2 linked regions of the Mytilus edulis genome follow. The protein of the gene in region 2 purifies or fractionates together with the protein of the main gene of each other region. This does not show direct contact. Links are inferred from orthologs where the notes say so. Each region holds a gene or a part of one and is shown on either strand. Other genes may lie near its edges.

Region 1 (7,157 bases), on a different chromosome or scaffold from region 2:
CGTTTATGATATAGATATCAAGATCGAGGAAAGGGCAGTGGTCATTGTTATCATTAGCTTTATTTAAAGTAAGTTCTACAGGATAAATTTCTTTAGTATACATACTGAAGTCGTCATTATTTAGAGGTTCATTTGATCTGAAGTAAATAGGATTTGGAATACATTTAGTAACAGTGTAACACTACTCCTTATTATGCACAGTGGTTATATTGAATGTTTTTTTTCTCTCTAAACCATCAAAACCATGCAAATTCAACATTAAACTCATTTAAATCTCAATTTTTTGTATGTTGGTCGCTAGTAGCTTTTCAGCGCAAACTAATCGAACTTATGTGTCTTAATTTAAATAGAAAGTGATTTTTAAATCTAATATATGCTAAAAAGAAAAGTGTGTGGAAACAATTCTGTCTTTTTCGTTTAAATGTTTGGTGTTACAATAGGTGATTTAAAATAAAAATATTAAATTGTTTTAAAATGTTTCCTTTTGGGACCAATATTACCTTTAACAATTCTTTAGTTTCTACATTCCACAGTTTTATTGATCTACCAGCAGTTAACAAATGATTGGAGGAACAAAGACACATTGAATGCACACTTCCTTTATCAGCTTTCCATTTGCTGAAAAAAAGTATAAAGTGTTTAAAAATGATATGATAAACCATGTAAAATTATATCTTGTTGTCTTACTAAATATTACAATTAAGACATAATTATTCATATATGTTTTTCATCAATTGAGACTTACAAAAATTCTCCTTATAGATCCATACACTCAGGTAAATCATTTTCCAGTTTCATAACTCATTCTTAATTTGATTTCAGAACCTGTTTTTAGAATCTGTTATTCATTTCGTGAGAAGATTTGAACAAGACTGGAAATTTCTTCTTCAAATAATGCAATTTCATAAAATTAGCTGGGCTAAAGAGGATAAACGTCTGCATTATACTGGACTGTTATGACATCCCTAAAGCTACCTACTGTCTAACACTAGCTGTAGAAACATCCCATTGGATGACATTGTGGTCGTTGCTACAACTGTACAAATAACCTTGATTTTCATCCCAACACAGGTCATTTACTGATTCACTGTGACCTTTATCCTGAAAAGAAATTTCCAAATAGGTATGAATATAAATTGGGCACCTTCTACTCCACATCATTTTTGAGGATTTTCTTACTAGTCTTTTTTAATATACAAGGGAAAATATTCCCTTTTTTTCCTCAGCCATAAAAATTATTTGGTTTACAGTTTTCAAAGTAATCAACTACTAATTTTGCTTTAACCTAAAAAAAACAATAAAAACAAGAATGTGTCCACAGTACACGGATGCCCCACTTGCACTATCATTTTCTATGTTTAGTGGGCCGTGAAATTGGAGTAAATTCTCTAATTTGGCATTAAAATTAGAATGATCTTATCAATGGAAACATGTATACTAAGTTTCAAGTTGATTGGACTTCTACTTTATCAAAAACTACCTTGACCAAAAACTTTAACCTGAAATTTGCACTATCATTTTCTATGTTAATTGAACCGTAAAATTGGGGTAAAAACTCTAATTTGGCATTAAAATTAGAAAGATCATATCATAGGGCACATGTATACTAAGTTTCAAATTGATTGGACTTCAACTTCATCAAAAACTACCTTGACCAAAAACTTTAACCTGAAGCGGGACAGACGGACGAACAAACGGACACACAGACCAGAAAACACAATGCCCCTCTACTATCGTAGGTGGGGCATAAAAATGCTACATTTTTCATGGAATAAAATGTGGATTTAAAAATAAAATTTTAAACACTGCTAGAATAGAATTCCTCATTAGATGGATAGTTTTTCAAATTTATTTTGTAAACTTCCCAATTTTATGGGTTGTCCCAACCTGTCAACTTTAAGTCATACATCATGTACATTAAGTGAAATACTACATGTACTACCGTCATTGAATGGTTAAGGATATAATTTTGTTGATGCTAAATGCTACAATTACATATTAGTACCTACCAACTGACTCTGTATATCTGCTTTTACAATACTGTACAATAAAATATTTCCAGAACTGGTTCCTATTGCAACAATATCATTTTTCTCTTGTTCAGCTGAATCTTCTGATAATGATTTCCTTTTTTTCTTTTTCTTTGGTGTTTTCTTAAAATATAAAAAGATAAAATCATGTTGACAAGCAATTTACATTTTTACTTTCATTTTGAAGTAAATATCATGTCAGATCAATTTATATTTGGGGAAAACTCATCCTTGAAACAAAAGGTGTCATAAATAATTAAAAAGAAGGTCAAAGTCCCTCAACTCCAACAAATGGCCAAATAAAAATGTTGACATTAGATATCGTGAAGAGAATAAGATGACAAATAGTATGCAAACTTTATGTCAATGACAGTGATCGCAGAGTATTGTGGCACATGTTGACCATATTCCCCTTGCAGTAGCACAAGCCACAACTGGCACAAGGGACAAATGGCAGCAATTTTTTGAATCACTAATTCAGTCTAAATCTGATGACAGGAATCATGACACATCCCACTGATGGATAGTTATATGATGGTGCATATGGTCATGGTTTAATTAGATTCCTACAAAACATATTTTCAATATTTCCAGGTTGCCAATAAAAATCCAATATCTTTTTTCAATTGCTTCATGAATAGTTAATATAATGATAACCTTAGGTCAATCATTCTTATGTAAGAAAATTGGTTCAACTTCTAACTTGAGTATATCTGTTTAAAAAATAAATACTGCTGATTTTGAATTTATCTCTGACTTACAGCACTGGGTCTCTTAGGACCCCATGATAAACAAGTACACGTTGCTGTCAGGTGTGAACTTGGAGTATACTGTTGACTGATTTTTGAGGTCGATGTATCATATACTTTAAGAACGCCGTCAGGACTTGAATACATGCAATATTCTCCATTTGAAGAAAAAGATACTGGTGTGGAAAGTGCCATTTTCAACACGTGTTCTAATATACGCATGCGTCAATTTTCTAAAGGTTATTTCCGTTTCCTGCTTGTTTCACTTTCAGCTGACTTGTTGTTTACAAAATATAAAAAAGTTTACGTGACATTAGTTCAGTAAACGATCAAGTTTTTATCAAAGTTTTAACTTAAATTAGAATGCAATCATCGGGTCTAACTCACATGCCGCACCCTTATTTGCTATGACAAAAGTTTTTTGAACTGCAGTTCTAGACAAGCACTTGTAAATATGGAATCTCAAGTACCACCACCTGATCGAAATGCTGAACCAAAAGATAGGTATCACAAGTGCAATTCGATTGAACAAAATGAAAAGTGTTTTTAATGCAGTTATTGCTTATTGGAAATGTGTTTTATATCAATTCATGGTGTTCCTTTTTCTGAAAAAGGGGTGCGGGGTGCATTATATACACCTTATGGCTATGTACATTTATCCCCGGCTTAGTATATATCTAGGATTTTGATTGGTTAACGCACGTCGTTACAAAACCCATAGCCCCTGGGTGTTGCTAACCCATATCCCCGGACGTTGCTAACCATTATCCCGGGGAACTCCGCGCAAGTTTCCCTTAGTTCCATGATTGCTCCTTGTGAAATATTGAATTCTGTAGAGTATCCATGATGTTTGTAATTAAATATTTAATTCATTAACGGGTTTGTCCTATATTATTCCGATCATGTACACTAATTTCATTAAATGCATCACTTGACTGCCACATTTCCTAGGAATGGGACGTCTATGCAAATGACCCACGTTGACGTCACACCATCTATGACGTAACTCTCACAACATTGAGCGCCAAATTTGACTCAATCCAGTTTCTCGGTCTCCGTATTAAAAACGTCTTATATTTCACTACCTGTAGGGTTCTACCAAAGGTAGTACCCTACACCCCGTAAAAAATATGTAAAATTTCCAAATTTCAATAAAACTTTTTTAGATAATGAAAAAAACGTTGTTTTCACGTTACACTTTGTACCCGAATTTCCATAAAACTCGCCCGATTCGGACTAAGACCGGGGATAAATTCGTTATCTACGTTCATATCTAATGAACGTAGATAACGAATTTATCCCCGGTCTTTCCTAGGAAATGTGGCAGTCAAAATTTCGGGATTTAAATTTCTTTAAATTCAGGACCTCAGGATTTTAAGCCAGGGATTTCGGGATCAGGAAATCTGTTCTGGTTGACCCTAGAATTTGCGTCTCTTGAAATTTGATGTCACACAACTATCAGTTTTCCATTGTGGCATCAAAATTATACTGAAAACCTTTGTTATGTCAAGTAACGGCACATACTATAAGTTATCTACGTTCATATCCGTAGATATGGATATTTTAACACCCTTCAGTACCCTGTACACCCTTCGGCTTCGCCTCATGATGTACTGGGGTACTTCAGGGTGTTAAAATATCCATATCTACGGATATGAACGTAGATAACTTATAGTATGTGCCGTTACTTGACATAACAAAGGTTTTCAGTATAATTTTGATGCCACAATGGAAAACTGATAGTTGTGTGACATCAAATTTCAAGAGACGCAAATTCTAGGGTCAACCAGAACAGATTTCCTGATCCCGAAATCCCTGGCTTAAAATCCTGAGGTCCTGAATTTAAAGAAATTTAAATCCCGAAATTCGAAAAAAGAATTACAGTATCCCAAAATGATCCATCCTGAAATCTCCAGCTTAAAAACACCTGAGACCCGATTAAGGTCCTATCCCCCTCAGTCACATGTGTATGTAGTATGAGATTGCACAGATTTCCAAATAGTATATATAAAAAAAGGTGTGGTTATGATTGCCAATGAGACAACTCTCCACAAAGACCAAATGGCACAGAATTAACAGCTATAGGTCACTGTGTGGCCTTCAACAATGAGCAAAGCCCATACCGCAAAGTCGGCTATTAAAGGCCCAGAAATCGCAAGTGTATCACAATTCAAATGAGCATATCAGGTCAATAAATAGCCATAGATGTTTAAAGGGTACAACTATTTCCCCAAGAACTTCCAAATACGCAATATATATGAACCTTAGAACTGATAGAAAATTACCCGAAAACTTTTCTGTATATGCAGTAGTATTTCTGCTTTTATAGATAAGTCTACAATTTTCAGATATACATTGTATGTCCTAAAAGTAAAAATTATATTCCTGAATTTGATTTGCGTTTTCTTTTATACATGTTCACACACCTAATAACTAGCTAATGGCATAGATATTCATGATATTTTTTCTTTACAAAACTTTTGACTTGCTCTGGTTAAAAATTATGAGTCCCTGGAAAATCCTTACTGAGTACCTTGTGAGTCAATCATCATCTATATCATGTATTATAGTATATATATGCATTTTACCTATATGTAACATTATAAAAATAAGGAGATGTGTTATTATTGTCAAAAATACAACTATTGGCTAAAGTTTGAATGAAGTTGATGTAACTGGTTTCTCACTAAGGCGAGTCCATGAGTCCGGATTCATGAAAATCTGTCTGGACTCACCATTTTCAAAACTGGTGATTATAAAAAAAGAAGATGTGGTATGATTGCCAATAAGACAACTCTCCAGACCACAAGAGACCAAATGACACAGAAATTAACAACTTTAGGCATCGCATGGCCTTCAACCATGAGCACAGCCCATACTGCATAGTCAGCTATAAAAGGCCCTGATATGAAAATGTAAAAAATTCAAACGAGAAAACTAACGGCCTAATTTATGTACAAAAAATGAACAATATACAAATATGTAACACACAAACAAACAGCAACCTCTGAATTACAGGCCCCTGACTTGGGACAGGCACAGACAAGCAGAATGTGTCGGGGTTAAACATTTTAGTGGGATCCCATGGCCAGCCCTCCTCTAACCTGAGACAGTGGTGTAACACTAAAACATAAGAATAAACTTGAAAAATCAGTAGAAAAAGGCTTAACTCATGAGATGGATAAAAATACAAATACTACAAATACAAGTGGACATCGCCATTTACTTGTACATCCCAACAACAAAAAGACACTAAGTACAGATCTGAGAGTACTTGCAGTTACTGACAGCTAGCTAGTTCAAAGCCACTAACAACTAATAAAAAAATCATGCATCTTAGACTAAATTATTAAGCCCAGAAATGAATCAATATTGTAAAATTTTGTATAAACTAAACACATGTATCATCATTTTATAGCAAAAGTTTAAAAGTAATCTGAATTTAATGCATATGTCATTTCGTTGCTCTATTAGGTCATGGAGTATAAAATAATAAATTATATTGCAATAGAATATCTTATCTTACTGTTGGACTAACCATGGCCAAAAATTAAGAGTCCCAGGACTCTCCTTCAAAAATACTTAGTGAGAACCCATATCATCTATAGATCAAAACTACTGAGTAGAGAAACAATATTGTGAATATATATAATATTTTATCTAAATGAATACCTAGCTACCTGGAGTACATTGAGTTTATTTACATGTATCTTATATTTAAAACAACTATATTTTTGAATTTTAACAAACTTATGTTTCTACTTGCAGGTTGAATATTGTTTACATTATATTTTATGTTTTGGGAATCGGTTCATTGTTGCCATGGAATTTTTTCATAACAGCCAAAGATGTAAGTTATCTCTCTTAGTTTCTGTAAATTATATCTAAAGTGAATCTTGGTGAAAAACTATGATAACAGATCAGGGAGACAGATTAACACATGGACAATTTTGTTGCTTTAAAATAAATTGAAATTATTTTTATATGTCATCATTTCCATTAAAAGTGGTTTTAAATAAATAAGGTTGACTGAAGACGATACATATCAGTGGGTGATTCAGAAATTTTCATAAGTGGGAGCCCACTGACTGCCTAAGAGGGGGCCCATTCCGGTCATGCTTCAGTGAATCCCTATATAATCCCCCTGGCCCCCCTCTAAATCCGCCTCTGCGTATAGTCTGATTTACCAATCTATGATATAGTCAAATTTTGTACAAAAATACAAATCATAATTTGTACATAAAATATACAAAGAGAAGCTGGAAGGGGTATATGTCAATGAGACAGCAACCTAGCAAAACAAAACAAATCACAACTGGAGGTCAACATTCAGTCCAACAAGAGATGAGTGTCTTCCAAATTTGAACATGGTGAAACA
Region 2 (7,583 bases):
ATGTTGAAGGCCATACCTTGACCTATAATGGTTTACTTTTGATAAATTGTTACTTGGATGGAGAGTTGTCTCATTGGCACTCGTACCACATCTTCCTATATCTATTTATTTTTTTATAGGAGTGCAGAAGCAAAAACCGATTTTACTGTTCTCGGTCAGACCACACAGGAGTTAGATCCAACGCATTCTGGACCTCTATGGCAAACAAGAGACCACCAATACGAAGAAATAAAGGCAATAGTTGTAAAATAGTTTCATAGTTTTCTCCTTTTTTTATGGTGTTGTTGGTTTTTCCACTTCTTCTTCTTCTTCTTCTTCTTTATATACAGAAAAACATCAACTGGTTGATGATTACTTTCCGGCGCATGCCTGGTTTAACAATATTGTTAATGATTTTTTTATAGATGCCCGTGCTGCCTTGGTATCTTTTCATATATTTATGATGGTGGTTTTTTTTTTATCTGAGACTGTTTGATTAATGCTTGCTTAAGTTAATGACTTATGTCCAATGGCAATTATTTCATGAAAATTCATGATTATAGAAGAAATTGCCTATAAATTCAATAATTAGTGTATTTATTGAATTACCTTATAACCAGTGTACGTATATATTAATGTTCATAACATGATTTAAGTAGTTGATAACGCTGTTGGAGATGTTTAATTCAATTTGAACCATTTGTCAACAAGTTCTCTTTCCCGCAATATTTAATTCAACATAACTGGTTTCCGATTTTAAACTGTTGATATCCGTAGGTAAAATTACAATGAAACCAGATTGTACAGAACAGTAAAGTGTACATTCGATATGATAAAGTGTTGATTCAATTTTTGTGAAATTATTTACCGCTATCGTATGATTTAAATTTTTTAACAACTTGTTTAAGATAACTTGTAGATGATGTGTTTATATCTTGCATATACTGTTTAAATATGATATGTATTACAATTGTAAAGGTAAAAAGAAAAATTACAAAAATACCGAATTCCGAGGACAAAATCATAATATGGTCATCACGGTAACGTTGGTAGTATTTTATATTTAGTTTTCAACAAAGGTAAGAAGATGTGACTGTAACTACCTGAAGCATAAGCTGCCAAATCCATGTTTCCTGATATATCTCAAAATCTCACATTTAATTTATAATAAACAAAACGTCAACCAAAATTAACGATTAACAATACATGGGCCTCTATGATATGTATCAGCATTTTGTGTGTATCTAAGTGTTGACCACCATTTAATTAACGTGCCATCGATATTACCTCCAACGACTGCCGACGGTCATACAACCGATAATAAACTTATGTATAGATATAAATACAGGGGCGGATGCAGGAATTTTCGAAAGGGGGGGTGCTAACCCAGGGCAAAAGGGGGGGTGCAGTGGGGGTGCAAAACATATGTCCCGATACAAATGCATTGATCGGCAAAAATAAAGGGGGGGTGCGCACCCCCGGAACCCCCCCCCCCCCCCCCCCTGGATCCGCCACTGAAATAGATATCAAAAGCACGTGCATCTGATTATTTTTTCTATGTGACTTTTTTAATTTGTCTGTTTGGTTAGATATTGCAGATTTTAAACATGCGTATACAAAAATGATGCCGGTAGTATAATGCATACTGTTTGTTGATCGAATCAGTCAACGAAATAGTTAACCCTTGTTTCCCTTTCAATGATGACCGGTATTCTTTTCCTTTTTACAGCTAAGCATGCCTATTACATATAGAGATCATAGTCTTAAGCTAAGGGATTAGATTGAAGGTCACGTGAATACGGATTCCACAGGCTGCCGATTATTGACTTACCATACCTTCCAATTTTTCAAATGCCCATTGGGGGTTTTGTGTGCAAGTTGGCTCTACAAAATCGTCAAGGCGGCCTTCTAATGTATTTTAAAACTGTTATTTTTCGGCTTCTTCATACTTTGAAAACCCTACAGCTATGGTGAAATTTATTGTTTTGTTTAAAATTGTTGACAAAATTGCTCCGCATTCAAATTTAAATTTGGAAGCTTTCATGGGGGAAATATCCCCGGCGCAAATAGTGACAGTTGGCAGGCATGACTTACAAGTGAATAATACATCACTGATGTTTAGAGCTTATTTTAACATATTTGGGTCAAACTTACTGCTTATTACGAACTATTACTTTAAAATTTCCCTTTCATAAATAATTTTGTTGATGTTCTGGTGCCGTATATGCGACATGCCCCTATAGTTATTAGTGATGCGGTATAATATTCTAGTGTTGTTATTGCCAACTTCATCTCGCCATCCTATCGCCTAGCTGTTTCAAATGACTGACGTACGTAGGAGGGGGTTTGAGGTGTCCACTCTCAAACGCGGTAGTCGTTCATTTCAGATAAGGCTGATCATCTTTGCACAATATCTAATTGTTACATGAATGTTGTTAAAAAGTGAATCCAAAACTGTGCCTGCGTACTCAAGCAGTGGATTCTAGCATCACTGATGAGTCTTTTGTAGACGAAACGCGCATTAGGCAGAAACACAAAATTCAATCCTGGTATCTAGATGGTGAGTCTATTTACGAACACTGCCTTTAAGCCACTTGTTGGGTCGATGCCACTGCTGGTGGAGTTTTTATTCTCCGAGGGTATCAACAGCCCAGTAGTCAGCACTTCTATGTTGACATGAATTATCATTAATATGGTCATAATTGTAAATTAACAGTTTACAAACCTTTGATTTTTTTAAATACTAAGACTTTTCTACCTCAGGAATAGATTACTTTGGCTCAGTGTAATTGGCAAAAATTTAAGGACTTTTTAGTCCTCAATGCTATTCAACTTCGTACTTTTCTGGCCTTTTAAACTTTTTTGGATTCAAGCGTCACTGGTGAGTCTTTTGTAGACGAAACGCGCGTCTGGGGCAAATACAAAATTGTGTTCCTTGTTTCCGATATGATGAGTTTATTTATTAACTAACGTTGATATGGTTGAATTCCGTAAAAGCAAATTCCAAGCGTTCCCATGACAGATGACATGTGATAAACGAGCTTAGGCCATATTCCAAAATGTACTCGCATAAATTATAATGGGCTGACTCGGCTTAATACCGATAGATCTGGGAACAGTATATCAAACATAGTATGTTCCTGCCAGTGGATAGATGTAACAATTCATAAAACCTTAAAATGACACACACACACACACACACACACACAAGGAATATAAATTAATCAACCAGGGCCTGTATCAAAAAGAAACATACCCCACTATCAACAGCAAATAATCTATATATATATATCCGTCAGGTAGTTATTCAGTGATGTTAAAAATGAAAAACAGTGAAGCCTTTACCGAAGATGTTGTTTAATCATGAGTTTACTGAAAAACAGCATTAAACAACAATCATTGAAAATGCATAACTGGGTAAAACATGCATTTATAACAAATGTCCAATACTTTGAATACACATTAAGTTGAACAAAATTACATACAAAAACCGGAAAACCCCCTGAAAAGTGTTAATCATACGTTAATATTTCTGGACAACCCCGGCTTCTTTATTTTATTCTTTTTTTTTTGTAAAATACCTTGGACTATTATACTAACAAATGTAGGACAGAAAGTCACTGGACAAAATGTAACAGACAAAAAGTCACGGACAAATAGTCACAGAACAAAAAGTCACAACTCATTTTTTTCTCCGCATTATTTTCTTTAAAAAAGAAAAAAAGAAAATAATGCTTGTATTTTCACAAAAACATTTTTGTATTTTTCTTAAACTATTGCATATAAACCAACTTTGTAAACAAAATTTATATATTTTTTTAAATTATCAAAGATGATCACTGTTAATAGAAAAAAAAATGTACTAAGAAATATATCCTTTGCATGATTAAAATTAAATAAATCTTATTTTTTCAATCATAATGACACATTTCCTAAACTTTAATATGAATATTTGTATTAAAAAGTAAATATTTCAAGATATTTTTCCAATATATCCAATCAATTGTCAACAAATTATTTGTGACGTTTTGTCCTGTGACTTTTTGTCCTATCAAATTTGTGACTTTATGTCCTGTGACTTTTAGTCCTGTGACTTTCTGTCCGTTTACCTACCAGCACAGGCACTCGTCTCAGAAAAAATTCCTACATATCTTTTATTTTCAATAAACCATCATTTTGACAAGGTATAGAGAAATTACATATAGAAATTTATACTTTTATATAACACAAAGTTATATAGGGGGAAAAAATCATGAGAAAAGTGCATTTGTATATCAGGTGCCGATTTGACCAGATGCCAATTTAACCAAGTGCCGATTTGACTAGATGTCATTATCAAACGCAATATGCTTTATTTGAAAATAAATGAGAAAGTAGTCTAAACCTGGGGTTAATGCATTGATTTTATAGTCCCATAATAAGAAAATCCTTCACAATTGTTTTCCAAATTTTGGTAACGCGGAATATAAACGTTGTCCTTATCCGAGATCCAGTCCTGCATTTAGAATAGATCAACATGGCTGCGCCCATTTGAAAACATGCGATAATTGTTTACAATCTTTAGCACTGTCCACACCTGATTTATTTTATCATATTTGATGGTCAAGGTTTCCCTTTCCATAGGTAAAGTTTGTAAATAACAAGTGCCGAAGTGGTGTTGTTTGACAGACCATAGCAAAAAATATGTCTGTTTACTAGGCCTAGTGCTAGGGACAATGTTTTTAATATAGTTTTACTTTTTATCTAAACATGTAAAAATGTGATTTTTTACATGCACATACATTATCAGTTAAAAAGTAGTACCAAAGTCATTATATTTAGGCATCTTCGTCAGTTTGTAAATCATTTGTGAATATGTAAATATTTTTTTATTCAGACACCAAAATTTATTTTAGTATTGATTGTACCTTGAACTAATATGAGGCAGGCATTACCTGTAAATGGGGACGATTAAATGTAAATATTTGTTGAAAAAAAAAGAAACGGAAATACCGAAACGTTTCCGATTTTGGTTCTGTTGTTAGGGATTTTAGTTGTGACGTTATTTAAATTATGACGTCATATGCAATGTAAACAAAGAAACGCTATCATCAGGTAACGTTTTTTCATATCAAGGAATTATTAAAAATGAAATTGGTATTGCGCGTTCCTTCCTATTTTATACTAGACTGATAAATATATATTTTACTCAAAGTTTCATACAAACGAGACCGGAAAAAGAAAGTACATTGTACATTTCTGCGCATGTCCGGGATTTCAAAACATGACATAAAAAAAATTGAACGATTTTGAGTTCATTAGTACAATGAAAAATTCGGGAAATTATCCCAAATTTTTTTTTTTATTGAATTTTCTACTGTTATTGGGGACTTCGTCCCCATAATATACTAACAGTAACAGGACTGGAAACTGATCGATCTGTTAAGATTTCAATGCCCCGATAGCACGATTATTGATTTTTTGAAATGATTGACAGCTTATTGTGTCATGTAGTGAATCAGCATTCGGTACATGTACATGTAAATAATAGATTTCGTCAAACAAATCAGCCGATAGAAGACTGTTAAAATTGGTGGATTTGAAATAAAGAACAATTATTAAATCAATAAGATTAAATGCAAAAAATTGATATTGTTTACGAAAAATTACTATGAGGCAGGCATAAAATTTAACTGTGAACATGGTGAATGGGGACGAAGTCTGTATGAATTAAATTTTTATTCAAACATTCATGTATTTCAACTTCAAAAGATTTTAGTTGTGACGTTATTTAAGTTATGACGTCATCTTCAATGTAAACAAAGAAACGCTATCATCAGGTAATGTTTTTTCTTATCAACAGAGCTCTTGATAAGCTACGTATATGCATGATCACGCAATAAAAATAATTGAAAACCCAATGCAATTGCCCATTGCAGAGTTCTAAAACCCAATTCATGCAAAGAAAAATTAACCCAATAATTTGTCAAAACCATGAGTTCTTAACGCTTTTAGTCGATATCATGTGGGTTATTTACCCTTATCTTTTACATAGTCGTTGTGTAAATCTATTTTTGTAATATTAAAAATCGGAAATGTCCTTTCGTTCTAAAAATAGATTGTTGAAAGGGTCCCTGTTGAAATGTTCCGTTGCTTAAAGGTACGGTACACGTGGTGAGGAAAACATTTCGATCTTCTCTGCCTTTATCCAATTAGCGTTAGCCATGTCGTCATTATTCTTTTCGTACTTCTAGGGACTTAGCATAACACTTAGCAATGAATTAAAACGAAAGTAAATTTCCGGTAAAAATATTGAATAGAAGCATGTTTTAGTTTCCTTTTGAGAGGATTATGATGATAACAAGACTCAGCTAGTGTTGTCATGAAGCGTCCCATGAACGCACAGGGTCGTGCAATGGCCCGTCCAGGCATGTTTGCGTGCCTTAACAATAACAGGGATAGATCTCGTCAAAAACTAAATCAGTTGGCGCTTGAAAGTCCAAATCACTTATATGAAGTCAGCATCCGAATCCGAAACTTCTAATAAGTAAATCCAGATTTATGTAAATAAAATAAAATAAAATAAAATCATTCAAGGTACCGATATTTAACTGATATATTTAAGCGAATGTGTAAGTAATGTATAAACTTTTTTTTTGTAGATCTATAAGAAATGGGTGAATTTAGAGTACATCACATAAGATTTTTTAATTACCAACCGCTTGCCATACATTGTATAGATTATAATAAAGAATTAAACCGAGTGGCTGTGTCAAGGTAAGTTAATGTAAACCTTTATATTTTTATTCTGATTCTAAAAATAAACTGAATTGCATGTAATTAAACAATAAAAATTTTAAGCTCTAGCCAATAGGGGATGGGAACATAAAGTTGTATTTCAGTACATACATATACCTATATATGTATGTTCGGAAAATTGGTTTCTTTTTGCTTACTTCAGTAAGCCTCAATCAAATCATATAAAATTTGGTAATATTGTTAGAGGCCACTCAACATGCTTAACACAGACCTACTTAGAATTTGACTGATTTCAAGTTTGTCTAGAAATTATTTCATGTATTTAATGTGTGTAACAATGTGAAAAATGCAACAAGATTAATATTGCAATAAGCAAAACTTAATAGTTGTAGATTGTAATATTCTTGTTGAAGGAAAATGAGAAGAACAATTTTAAATGAAACATTCACAGTAGTTATATATCATGTGTGCTGATGCAATACTAAATATCACTATCAAGAAAAGACAAAGTATCTTAATTAATTACATAAAAAGGGGTATTGAATGTGTTTTACAGCATTAAGTTTTAGCATAGCACGTACATACATCAAATTACTATTTTCCCTTCTTTGGTTTTGTTTTTGTTTAGATCTGATGCATCAATAGAGATCTGGAGCATTGGAGATGATTGGTATCAGGAGAAGGTAAACAACAACAAAAACAACAACAATACTTTATTTTAAGAGGGTTACACAGTTAGCTATATAACTAATCTTCCCTGAGGCCCTCATCATGAGAAATCAAACAAAATGCAAACATATACATTGCATACATTAGTATAAAAAGTCAAGTATGATAATAATGTTTAATACAACTTAATAAAATGT

What was found. The genes of interacting proteins can lie anywhere in the genome.
Region 1: the proteins of U3 small nucleolar RNA-associated protein 4 homolog (region 2) and WD repeat-containing protein 43-like purify together in Homo sapiens (co-immunoprecipitation; 5 studies listed by BioGRID and IntAct, counting the BioPlex papers as one, with this or other methods). This does not show direct contact. The link is inferred for Mytilus edulis from reciprocal best matches to the Homo sapiens genes UTP4 and WDR43.

Annotation. Positions count from the first base shown.
Region 1 is NC_092346.1:5,602,297-5,609,453, forward strand, and holds the start of WD repeat-containing protein 43-like, read right to left. Parts: upstream 3,015-7,157; 5' UTR 3,002-3,014; coding exon 2,792-3,001; intron 2,154-2,791; coding exon 2,010-2,153; intron 1,102-2,009; coding exon 980-1,101; intron 619-979; coding exon 501-618; intron 1-500. Other genes in the region: equilibrative nucleoside transporter 3-like, read left to right, coding at 3,234-3,283, 6,548-6,629. UniProt on the Homo sapiens protein: Ribosome biogenesis factor that coordinates hyperactive transcription and ribogenesis. Part of the small subunit (SSU) processome, first precursor of the small eukaryotic ribosomal subunit.
Region 2 is NC_092348.1:88,492,266-88,499,848, reverse strand, and holds the start of U3 small nucleolar RNA-associated protein 4 homolog, read left to right. Parts: upstream 1-4,472; 5' UTR 4,473-4,602; intron 4,603-6,620; 5' UTR 6,621-6,631; coding exon 6,632-6,735; intron 6,736-7,345; coding exon 7,346-7,400; intron 7,401-7,583. UniProt on the Homo sapiens protein: Ribosome biogenesis factor. Involved in nucleolar processing of pre-18S ribosomal RNA. Part of the small subunit (SSU) processome, first precursor of the small eukaryotic ribosomal subunit.